Linked DNA regions of Arabidopsis thaliana. The main gene of each other region encodes a partner of the protein of the gene in region 2 in a complex. Each region holds a gene or a part of one and is shown on either strand. Other genes may lie near its edges. The genes, in order: BGLU21 and JAL22.

Evidence for each region.
Region 1: JAL22 (region 2) and BGLU21 share a complex: the UniProt entries of both Arabidopsis thaliana proteins name them as parts of the PYK10 complex.

The regions. Positions count from the first base shown.
Region 1 is NC_003070.9:24,699,312-24,705,163, forward strand, and holds BGLU21 (Glycosyl hydrolase superfamily protein), read right to left. Parts: upstream 3,856-5,852; 5' UTR 3,685-3,855; coding exon 3,520-3,684; intron 3,318-3,519; coding exon 3,248-3,317; intron 3,131-3,247; coding exon 3,075-3,130; intron 2,988-3,074; coding exon 2,912-2,987; intron 2,745-2,911; coding exon 2,667-2,744; intron 2,577-2,666; coding exon 2,489-2,576; intron 2,400-2,488; coding exon 2,147-2,399; intron 2,027-2,146; coding exon 1,911-2,026; intron 1,833-1,910; coding exon 1,615-1,832; intron 1,508-1,614; coding exon 1,473-1,507; intron 1,389-1,472; coding exon 1,286-1,388; intron 1,195-1,285; coding exon 1,086-1,194; intron 1,007-1,085; coding exon 799-1,006; 3' UTR 557-798; downstream 1-556. UniProt on the Arabidopsis thaliana protein: Beta-D-glucosidase active on scopolin >> esculin >> 4-MU-glucoside > DIMBOA-glucoside. No activity with pNP-glucoside, oNP-glucoside and sinigrin as substrates.
Region 2 is NC_003071.7:16,413,292-16,418,731, reverse strand, and holds JAL22 (jacalin-related lectin 22), read left to right. Parts: upstream 1-1,886; 5' UTR 1,887-1,953; intron 1,954-1,994; exon of another isoform or gene 1,995-2,401; 5' UTR 2,402-2,408; coding exon 2,409-2,609; intron 2,610-2,932; coding exon 2,933-3,394; intron 3,395-3,667; coding exon 3,668-4,126; intron 4,127-4,215; coding exon 4,216-4,470; 3' UTR 4,471-4,698; downstream 4,699-5,440. Other genes in the region: AT2G39320 (Cysteine proteinases superfamily protein), read left to right, coding at 215-241, 341-415, 561-780, 893-1,140. UniProt on the Arabidopsis thaliana protein: Inhibitor-type lectin that may regulate the correct polymerization and activation of BGLU23/PYK10 upon tissue damage.

The DNA.
Region 1 (5,852 bases), on a different chromosome or scaffold from region 2:
TTTGCTTTTAAAAAAAAAATCTTGAAAATCACTATTTACATAAATCGTTTTTGATAAGTGACTACTAGTAAGATAGAATGTGATGATTTCATTATTAACACATACGTTTGATTGTTTTTTTTTGTTTTTTTTTGCTTGCTAAGAATGAAATATGAATTTCCAAAGTAATGAATGATGTTGGTATTGCATGGTGGATTTATTTGGTTGCATCATGCATGGATTTTATTTCCTTAAGGTATATAGAAAATACGCTTGGCCAAATGAGTGAAAAAGAGATATCTTCTCTTGCTGGTCGTCCTGTTTTTTAATCTAAACTAGTGACTTTCAAAAATAAAATATTAGAACTGTTTGGGAAAATGAATTGCCATTGTTTATTTCATCGCCAACGTTTAAGTTGTTAGTTTTTGAAATGTTTGTACTTAGTTGTTAAGACGACGTCAAATTATTTCCTAATCTATTTCTATGTATAGAGGTAAATTCGTATTTTTAATTTTCTAAAACTAATGATATTTTCTTACATCATTTTGTAACTCATAAATTTTTTAATGTTAAGGTTGTATGATTCAATTTTTCTTCAAGTTTGGAAGGTAAAACATATTTAACTTCACATATTGATTCTCAAAAAGGATAACGTCATTAAAACTAAAGCCTTCTTGATCTTGTCGAATAAGCTAGAGATTGAAGGAAAACGAAACACTTTTATTATTATTAACCACGACTCATGAATCGTGCGTGGTCAATCACAAACTAAAACATAGGAAAAACATCGAATAGAAAACGAAATCCTCAAAATATAACTTAAAGCTCATCCCTCTTGAGTGCGGATGGACGAACACCTTGAGCGAGGAAATCTTTGTAATACTTGGCTGATTCTTTCTCATAACGTGTGAGGTTATTTTTGAAATCGACGTAATAGAGTCCGAATCTGTTTTTGTAACCATCTTGCCATTCGAAGTTATCCAACAATGACCATACAAAGTATCCCGTAACTCTCACCTTATCGATGCTGCACAAACACAATTATGTTCTTAATTAGACCATTCAATAGAATCGTTAGTCAATCTATCAAATAATAAAAGGCTTACCAAATAGCCTCGTTCATAGCCAGAAGATGCCTCTGAAGATAATATTTCCTGTTATGATCAGCAGTACCAACGTCAACCGAATCTGTGGTCCCAAGTTTATCTCCATATCCTAGAAAAAACAACATTATAATGATCAGTATATTACTCTTAAGAGTTAAGATTAAATCAACACACAAATATAACAATAAATCTCGAGTTACCATTTTCCATTATCATAATCTCCGGGTTTGCGTATTTGTCCTTGATGTACTTTAAAAGCTTTCTAAATCCTTTAGCGTAGACGGGCAATGCAGCAGTAAGAGGCTGAAATAAAGCAATGGTGAAAATGTTATGTCGTAGACAAAAATTAACAATCACAAACTAGGACTAGTTTAATCAAACGCTTACCATGCTACCAATGGCGCTGTGATCTACATTCTTAGCTGAAAAATAAAAAGTGAAAATGTATGCATATCAATTAGTATTATAAAACCTTTTATCTTTAGTTTCTTGGTTTGGTTTCATGTACGGAAAACAAAAAAAAACTTACGTTCCCAGGAAACAAGAGAATCTTGCTTCCAACTTGGTTTAGACGGATCTGGCTTCTCATTATAATTTGAAAATGTCGAAGTATAGTAGTTAAGCCCTACGAAATCGGTCGAATCTTTCAATTTTGCTTTTTGTGCAGCAGTAAATTGAGGCAATCTGTAACCAAGAAGGTCTTTCATGATTTGTGGATAATCTCCCGAAGTAGTTGGCTCCAGATGCCTACACAAAATTAATAACTACATTAATTTTTATGAAATTATATACGAGAAACCATTTTCTAACATAATATATACTTACCATCCCAACATAAAGTCAAGTACACGGCTAACAGTTGGAGCGTCATTTGAATCTTTAAGATCATGTGGTTCGAACCAAGCCGGACTATGTGCGATTCCGATTTTCCCACCTTTAACCTATGTCCATAAACACAACACAAAACAACCTATTTTAAGATTCGAAACCTGATAATTAATTGTGATTTATATCTAATGTGACCTGATAATTAATTATGATTTATATCTAATGTAAACTACCTTTTGGCGGAAAACTTCAACAGCTTCTGCGTGAGCGTTGAGGAGATTGTGACTGACTAGATAAGCCTCTTTACCAGATTGTCCCTCTCGGTCTTCGCAACCTGGAACGTAGCGAGAACAACGTCCTGGTGCTTTCTTTCCTAAGTCGTAACCTGCGTGAGCAAAGACCCATGGCTCGTTGAAAGTGATCCAGTTTTTCACTTTTCCACCGTATTCAGTGAAAACATAATCTGCATATTCTCGAAAATCTTTCCTGTATTTTTGCAAAAAAAAAAGATACCAAATTAATAATTTCCATATAAACTTAACTAAATGTATTTTGTTTAATTTACAAAAACATACACAATGTTTTGGCTTAAGAAACCGCCATATTCGTCTTCCAAATCTTGTGGAGTGTCCCAATGGAAAACAGTCACAAACGGAACTATACCTATTTATGACGTAAAATAGAAAGAAATGTTAAATAAGGATACTATATTACTTGTATTTTTGTGAACTAGGTATTTTATATGTATATAACCATTTTTAAGGAGTTCATCGATGAGCTCGTGGTAGAATTGCACACCAGCTTGACTCACTCCCTTCTCCTTTCTCCCATCTAATAAAGCATTACAGTTTGTTTCATTAGTTATTGATACTTCAACATTCACATATACATCATCTAAATTCATTGGTTATTAGTATTATATAACAATCACATAAATCTAATTTCACCAAATTCGATTAAAACAAAATCAAACTAGAGATCTGCAGACATATACTCACGAGGAAATATTCTTGACCATGCGATTGAGAGTCTGAATGCATCTGTGTTTAGATTCTTCATTAGCTGAATATCTTCCTACAAACATTTTTAAGACAAGGCAAAATTTCAATAACATCTCGAGAATATAAGTTATGTTTGTCTTAAATTTATATTAATATATACCTTATAACGATGGAAGAAATCAACGGCCACATCGGCGTGGTCGCCACTACATCTCTCTGTAATTTGAAAGTAATTAAGAAAATTAATGGCTATGTATTGATATTAATTAGTTAAATTTAATTTAATATTTAAACATACTGTATTGAGAATGTAGATTATACGAGTACACTCACCTGGATTTCTTCTACAGTAGATATCCCATAGAGCCGGTCCACGACAAGTTTCATTAATTGCACCTTCGACCTAATGACATAACAAAAAATAGTTGATGAGTTGAGGAATATCACATGCACAAATGATTTCAAATGATAGGTATAACATATTTTGAGCAACTTTTACATAAAAAAAAACCATATTTTAAAAATATGGATTTGAATTCAGATAGAAACACAATAACGACACTACTTTTTGTTTTTTGAACTATGATTTAGTAAATCTGTTGTACCTGAAACGCAGCAGTAGCCGTGCCAAACAAAAACCCATTAGGGAAACTTGCTCGGCTTAGCTTGGAAGTCGCCGGGCAAACAGGATCATCAACCGCTGTTGTCACAGAGACGAGGATGGTTAGGAGCAAAAGCAGCCCCATGAGAGGAAACTTTTGCAATGCCATTTTTGTTTTTAGTTTCTTCTGGAAGAGAACAAGTTTATGATGATTTGTTTACATCCAATCGGAGTTCTTTATATAGCGATTTTGATTGTTTGTTAACGAGTGACTAAAATATAATTGTTTAGTAAAACTATTTTATATATAGGATGATTCATTGCATGACCTCGACCGTTGTGTTCTTACTTAGTTTGGAACATATTATATTGTGCGTGGAACTAATATAAGTTCTTCATCCATTTTGGATTTAATTATTTGATTAGTCCATTTTGGATATCATAATCTCCCAATATGATTATTTGTGTTTCATAATAAACCTTTTTCGGAATAACTCTTATGTACTTTGTCTATGGTTTCGATAATTAACTATGTTCATATATATATAAATATATAATATTGGTGTTTTATATAATTTAATAATTGTATATTATTTATTTGGTAATTTTTGGTTTAAACCACTGTCGCATCTACTGCTAAGCCAATCATAAAATTGCCGTAAATACACATATTTTTAACTGTAAACCAGTCATTTAAAATGTCCGATAACGTTTAAAACCTCAACCAATTACTTCCATTAACTTCCACAATGACAACCACACCCCGTTGCATTTAAACCAACGAAAACCCTAAATAATAACAAGCCTATTTTTGATACTCAAATAATTGGAGACTTTATTATTTTTCAAAACTTAATTGTAAAAACATATTTTTTAACTTGTTTAACGAACATTACTCTTAATCTTTCATAAATCAGTTTCTAATTCGAAAAAAAGTTATACCTTATTCTGAAAAAATTCAGGTAGCAAGTAAAGGATCTCTCATTTAATGTTTGGACTAATGAATGACTAAACTATATGAGTATGTATTTAGTAAGACTATTTTTATAGTATATAGGATGCTTCATGGCACGATCTCGATCATTGTATTATATATAGTTTAGTAAATCTATTTAATAAATAGGATGATTCATTGCATTATCTCGATCATTGACTAATTCTTACTTATTTTTCCTAGTTTGGAACATATTATATTGGGCGTGGAACATATAATATAAAAACGTGACTTAAAAATATATCATGTATGTCCAAAAAAAAAGTTTACAGCATGAGGAGTCCTCGAACCAATCGGCCGGCCCTAAGTCAATGGATCATTTAGTGCCTCGTATAGATCTAGATCGAGTTTTGGATCTTATTTTGTTATGGACGTTAAGTTATTAATGTGTTAGTGACTAAAATATAAATATATAATACAACTGTTTAATAGGATGACTCATTCCATGATCTATATGGTTTACATTACTTTTTTGTTTTCCAATATATAGTCCTCGTGTCTAAAACTCTAAACTAAATTATATCCTCTTTATATTTTATAATTGACACATTTTGCGCGAATAAAAAGACAAATCATTAACTATACAAATATACCATTACTTTATTAGATGATATTTCCTCTATTTCAAATTATATGATGTTTTAGATTAAAACACACACTTTAAGAAATTTATTTTTAATTATAAAATTTGTTCTCTTGATATTAAAAATACAAAATACAAACCAATAGTCAAATAATCAAATAAAATATATTTAAAAATTGCATTGATATTAGTAAAACATCCTAAATAAATCTCTGAAATATCCTATATAATGAATCAGAGTGAGTGTTAAATTTAAAACAAAAATATGAATAAATTAAAGAATAAACGTGGAAGTTTATTTGAAAAGTAAAATTGGAAATTTAAAATAACATGTTTTTTTTTGAAACAAAATAAAAATTCCACAAGAACACTAGTGGTTGTTATACAGAAGGACTATTATTAAATATTTTAAATTGGATGATTTCATTGCACGATATATAAACGTTGAGTTGTTTTTTATTTTTCTAAATCTTGAACGTATAATATTCATCATGCATAAACGTTGAGTTGTTTTTTTTATTGAACAGAAATAAAAATCCTCAAAATATAACTTAAAGCTCATCCCTCTTTATCGCGGATGGACTTAGGCCGTGTTCGTTTCATCAGTCAGATGGATCATCTAGATAGAGATGAGTTTTGATGTTCGTTTGGTGCCAAAAACGGTTCATTCAGATGATCTATCCAAATAAATCATCTGGATGACTTTGAAAATTTAAGCTAAATTTTGAAACTTATTTGGCTGAATTTAATTGGATCATTT
Region 2 (5,440 bases):
ATCAATCTCAACTCTAAAAGATGTCTAATACTCAGACCAAGTCGTTGTGTTTGGACGGTCTTAGTGATCGCGAAATACTTGAGTATAGGTATTGATCGATTCTTCTTGTAAACTTTGTTCCAATTATTTTTTTGCCTGATAATCTCTGACTATATATGTTATTTCTTATTCTTCCTGGATTTTCAGATTGGAATGGGAAAATTACACCGAAATCATGATGAAAAGTGATGGAAATTGCCAGGTAATTAATGTTTCTATATCAAACAATCAACTTGATATATATTTTTGATCGTATTATGAATAACCCTTTTTCATGTTTTTGTCAATAATTCTATTTCAGTTCCGTGCTTTGGCGGATCAACTTTATCAAAATTCGGATTGTCATGAACTTGTTAGACAAGAAATCGTAAAACAGGTAATATCAATCTTCAAACTTTTGATTGTTTTTTTCATACGTGTATTAATGTCATATGATGATTGATTGATTGATGACTCTCAGCTTAAAACTCATCCGAAGATTTACAAAGGGTTTGTTGATCATATGGACTTCTCCCATAAAGAACATGTCATTGTCCACTAATTCCCAATGGGGCGATGAAGTGACTTTGAGAGTGGCTGCTGATGTGTATCAAGTAAAAATAATACTCATTACATCAATCAAACTTATTCCATTTATGGAGTTTTTGCCCAAGTCTCAAAAGGAACCGGACAAAGTCATTCATATGAGCTATCTAGCTGGGATCCATTTCAACTCCATCTACAAAAAAAATAAAGAAAAAGGTTAACGTTCTCTTCCTTCTCCATTGTATATACATCTCATCTCCTTACTCTTGATTTGAGGCTTTGAGCAATATTGTATCATTCTTATTCTTCGTCTTGTTGGCTGCTTCAGGTTCACGTTCATCTTCATCATCGAGTTCTGCAGTCTGGATGAAGCTACAGAGGAAGAAGGAGAATGAGGCGAAGAAAAAGGAGGAGGAGGAGAAGGAAAGGAAGGACATGGAGAAGGAGGAGAAGAAAAAGGACAAGGAGGATAAGAAGAAGGATAAGGAGGATAAGAAGAAAGCCAAGGTGCAGAAAGAGAAGAAGGAGAAGAAGGAGAAGAAGAACAGAAATCACCACTTTCACTATTCTGAATGATTTGTTTTGATAAATTAAGTGTATCTGCATTTGACAAGTTGTATGTTATTATTGGGATCATTGTGGTTGTTTTGACTCTTTTATGTTCTTTTCGAGCTTATTCTAGTTTTGAGCCTTAGATACTGATAATCATAAAACACAACATGATAATGTGAAAGAGTCATCATGACATAACATCAGCGTCCCAAAATAACTTGACCATCGTCTCCATGGTATCCAACCGTCGATCCTCAACGACTCCAAAAAGCAAGGACATGAATATATGATGATGATAAGCCAAACTTTTGCATGAACACAGTTTATACAAAATTTAAATAACTGTTAAATTCATTTGAAACTTTAATGAATGATATTTCTGACAGTAACTTAGGAAATAAAGCTTATACACCGTTTTAGTTTGAAGATAATAATTCTAAATCTGTTTTCAAAATGTGCAGTCAAAAAGATTCTTAATACTAAATAGGAGATTTTGGTGGGAATCGCAACATTAACATCATCAAATTTGTTTTAGTTAACAATATATTGAATTTGGTTTATGCTGTTTTGATGAATTGTTTTGTTCATCTGTCGTACTTTAAAATATCTCTGCATCTAGAAAGTTGTATGCTATTATTATATATTGCACTCGTAATGGACTCTAATTATTTGTTGCATTTGTGAGGGAGTCTCTCGTGTCACACGAGTTGATTATTAAAATGATTAATTAAAGACAATCAAGAAGACCTTGTATGCCAAAGATTGTCAATAAATACACACAATTCAATACCCATAAGCTTCATCTCCTTCCATCATTCAGAGCTCAATAATTAACTGGTTATCTCTCTCCCTTCAATTTTTTTTTTTTTTTTTTTTTTTAAAGTAACTCCTAGTTTCCACTACTATGTATGTTGCTTCACAAAATGTTTTTAAAACAAGAAGTAGCTCTTTATATGTAGATATGTATTCTTGAATATATTAGATTTAACAAACACTTTTAAACCTAATTGATTGATTTATATTACACCACATCACCAATAATAGAGCTATCAACATCAAACAGTAAATATTTACCCATGATCAGTTGATTGTTCTATTTGTGTTTCTTGGATCATTTTGGTGTTTTTGCTATGTATTTGAATAGGCTATACAGTGTTATCATGGTATTTATGTATTACTAACCACAAACCAGCTTTAAAAACTATATATAAAGCTGTACATATATACTTTCGTTTTTGGATTATCTATATAAGAAGTAATTTTTGCATTTTACAATATTTTTTAGATTCGAAATGGCGAAGATGTACCGGAAGTTGGCACTCTGCGGTGGTGAGGGAGGACAAGAATGGGACGACGATGTATATGAGGGTGTAAGAAAAGTGTATGTAGGGCAAGATCTCAACCGTATCACTTACATCAAGTTTGAGTACGTGCAGGAAGACGGCGAAGTAGTAACAACTGAATATGGGACAACAAATCAGCACCCTAAAGAGGTTCTCATTGCATTTATTCTCACCCTTAATTTTTTGCGATACTAGTAAATTACTCTTGTGAATTCGGATTAACGTTGGATAAATCCTTTAAGACATAAACAAGAAGAAGCAAGTATTTCTGAGGCGGATACCCTTTAGTGACTCTCTAATTTTTTTGTATTACACTACTTGTGTAAATGAATAAGACACAAACACTAAGACAACGTTATAAAACCAAAACTCAGATACTGTATATTAGGACTAGGAAATCTTGAGAATTATCCTAAACCTATCAATATTAAATACTATAAATTTTATTGAATATATGTTACTATTACATACAGTTTGTAATTCAATACCCGGACGAACACATCATAGCAGTGGAGGGAAGTTACCACCAAGTGGCTCTCATTGCCACAGAGGTGATTACGTCCCTCGTCTTCAAGACCTCAAAGGGTAGAAAGTCTCCATTGTTTGGTCCAAACTTACTTGGAATTACGACCGGTACAAAGTTTGTTTTTGAGGATGAGGGAAAGAAGATCGTAGGGTTTCATGGACGGGCAGGTGATGCTGTCGACGCTCTTGGAGTTTACTTTGTATTGGATACCACGCCGTTCCCTCTTTACAAGCTTGATGCCCAAGGTGGTACAGACGGGCGTGTTTGGGATGATGGTTCTTACGATGGCATTAAAACGCTGCGTATTGATCAAGATAATTCTCGTATCACTTATTTAGAGGTTGAGTACGAGAAAGACGGGGAAGCAAAAACATGTAACCATGGGGGGAAAGGAGATACACCATCCGAGGTAACTTTACTAGTTCTTCTTATACACGACTAGTTCAATAATTTCTCAAAAATGTTATAAATTGTTAAACTCTATTTATATGTGATCATTAGTACAACGACATAAATTAGGTTCCAAATATCAATGATTAATTATTGTGTTTGTAGATTCTTTGCAGTAGTATGAAGTATAACTCTCACACACTCCGGTTCAAATTTTTGTAGATATAATTGACACATGTATTTAGATCTCTTAAGACAAAAAGTCTTCTTATTTTGTTGCTTCTTGTTGCAGTTTGTGCTTGGTTACCCAGATGAATACATCAAATCGGTGGAAGCAACCTATCAGAAGCCAAACATTTTTAGCAATACGGCAATTACGTCACTTAAGTTCTTAACATCAAAGGGGAGAACATCATTCTTTGGGTATAATGTGGGTAAGAAGTTTGTGTTGGAGCAAAAGGGTCATAGGCTTGTCGGGTTCCATGGAAAGGAAGATGCAGCTATTGATGCTCTTGGAGCATATTTTGGACCTGTTCCTACTCCTACTCCCTTGATTCCATCTAAGAAACTACCAGCGATAGGCGGCAACGAAGGAGTTACATGGGATGATGGTGTCTACGACGGTGTAAGGAAGATACTTGTAGGACAAGGTAACGATGGTGTATCCTTTGTCAAATTTGAGTACAGTAAGGGCAAAGACCTTGTACCCGGAGATGACCATGGGAAGAAGACATTACTCGGAGCTGAAGAGGTCATTTAAAAACAACAATTTTTTTTTTTTTTTTTCAATTCATTCTAGATTATTTACACTTATCCTTTGTTGGTTTTGAATCTTTGCAGTTTGTGCTTGAAGATGGTGAATATCTCATGAACATAGATGGCTACTACGATAAGATCTTCGGAGTTGAGGAACCAATAATTGTATGTCTTCAGTTTAAGACCAACAAAAGGGAGTCAATGCCGTTTGGAATGGATTCTGGTAAGAAGTTCTCGCTTGGAGAGGAAGGCCACAAGATCGTTGGATTCCATGGACAAGCTAGTGATGTTGTTCACAGCATCGGAGTCACTATCGTGCCCATCACCACCACCGAGTGAAAACCAGTTAGTCATATATACTACATGAAACTTCCAATAAGATTGGAGTGTGTGTGTGTGTGTGTTCTCTTTACTATGTTACTTTTAATACGTGGTTGTAAGTTCAAGTAACTTACTGTGTGCTAATAATTCCAATAAGATTGGCTTGTGATTTCTTGTTATTTACTGCCAAAAAATTAATCTGGTTCTAAAAATCTACATGCCTATTAATTTCAATAAATCCCCTAATCAATTCTAGTTATTTTATTAGTTAGCATAAATAGAAAAAAAATACCACATTATTATTACAAATCACTAAGATTTATTAGTCCACATTATATTTTACTGATAATTATCAAAGCATGGTACTATTTAAAACCTCAAACAAGTTAGCAATTAAAAATCTCACAGAGACTGATTATCTTATTTGTTTTAATTAAGAGAAAGGCAAAAACAAAATTGAGTAATGCTTGCTTACCAAAATATACAGCTAAAAAAGACAATTTTAGGCCCACAATAAAAAACAATCAAAAAGGCCCGCTCCTTCAAAAAGATTTAAAAAGTGAACGGACTCAATTTCCCATATTACCCTTCATTGCTACTCGAATTTACGGAGAAACCCTGTTTCTCTGTCCTTACGCCTTTCTCTCTCCGTTACACTGCCGCCGTAACGCTTTCTTCCTTCTTGTAAAAAAAGTCTCTCCGTTTAACTAAACGCCGTAAAAAAACTCAGCTTTGATAATATCGGTTTTGATTTTTGATTGAGTTTCCCTCCATATCTCCTCGATTTCCGATTTTGAGGAATCAATCTCTCTGTTTATACGGTAAACTTCATAACTCCATCGATTTTTTGGTTTCTCTATTTTGAATTTCAAACAAAAAAACTGTTACTGATCCATATTTGTATTTGATTGATCGTAAATCCTCTGAAAATTTTCTTCTTTGTTTTCTTCGCCACTGAGAGACTCAGGTTCGATGCTCTGCTTCGTTT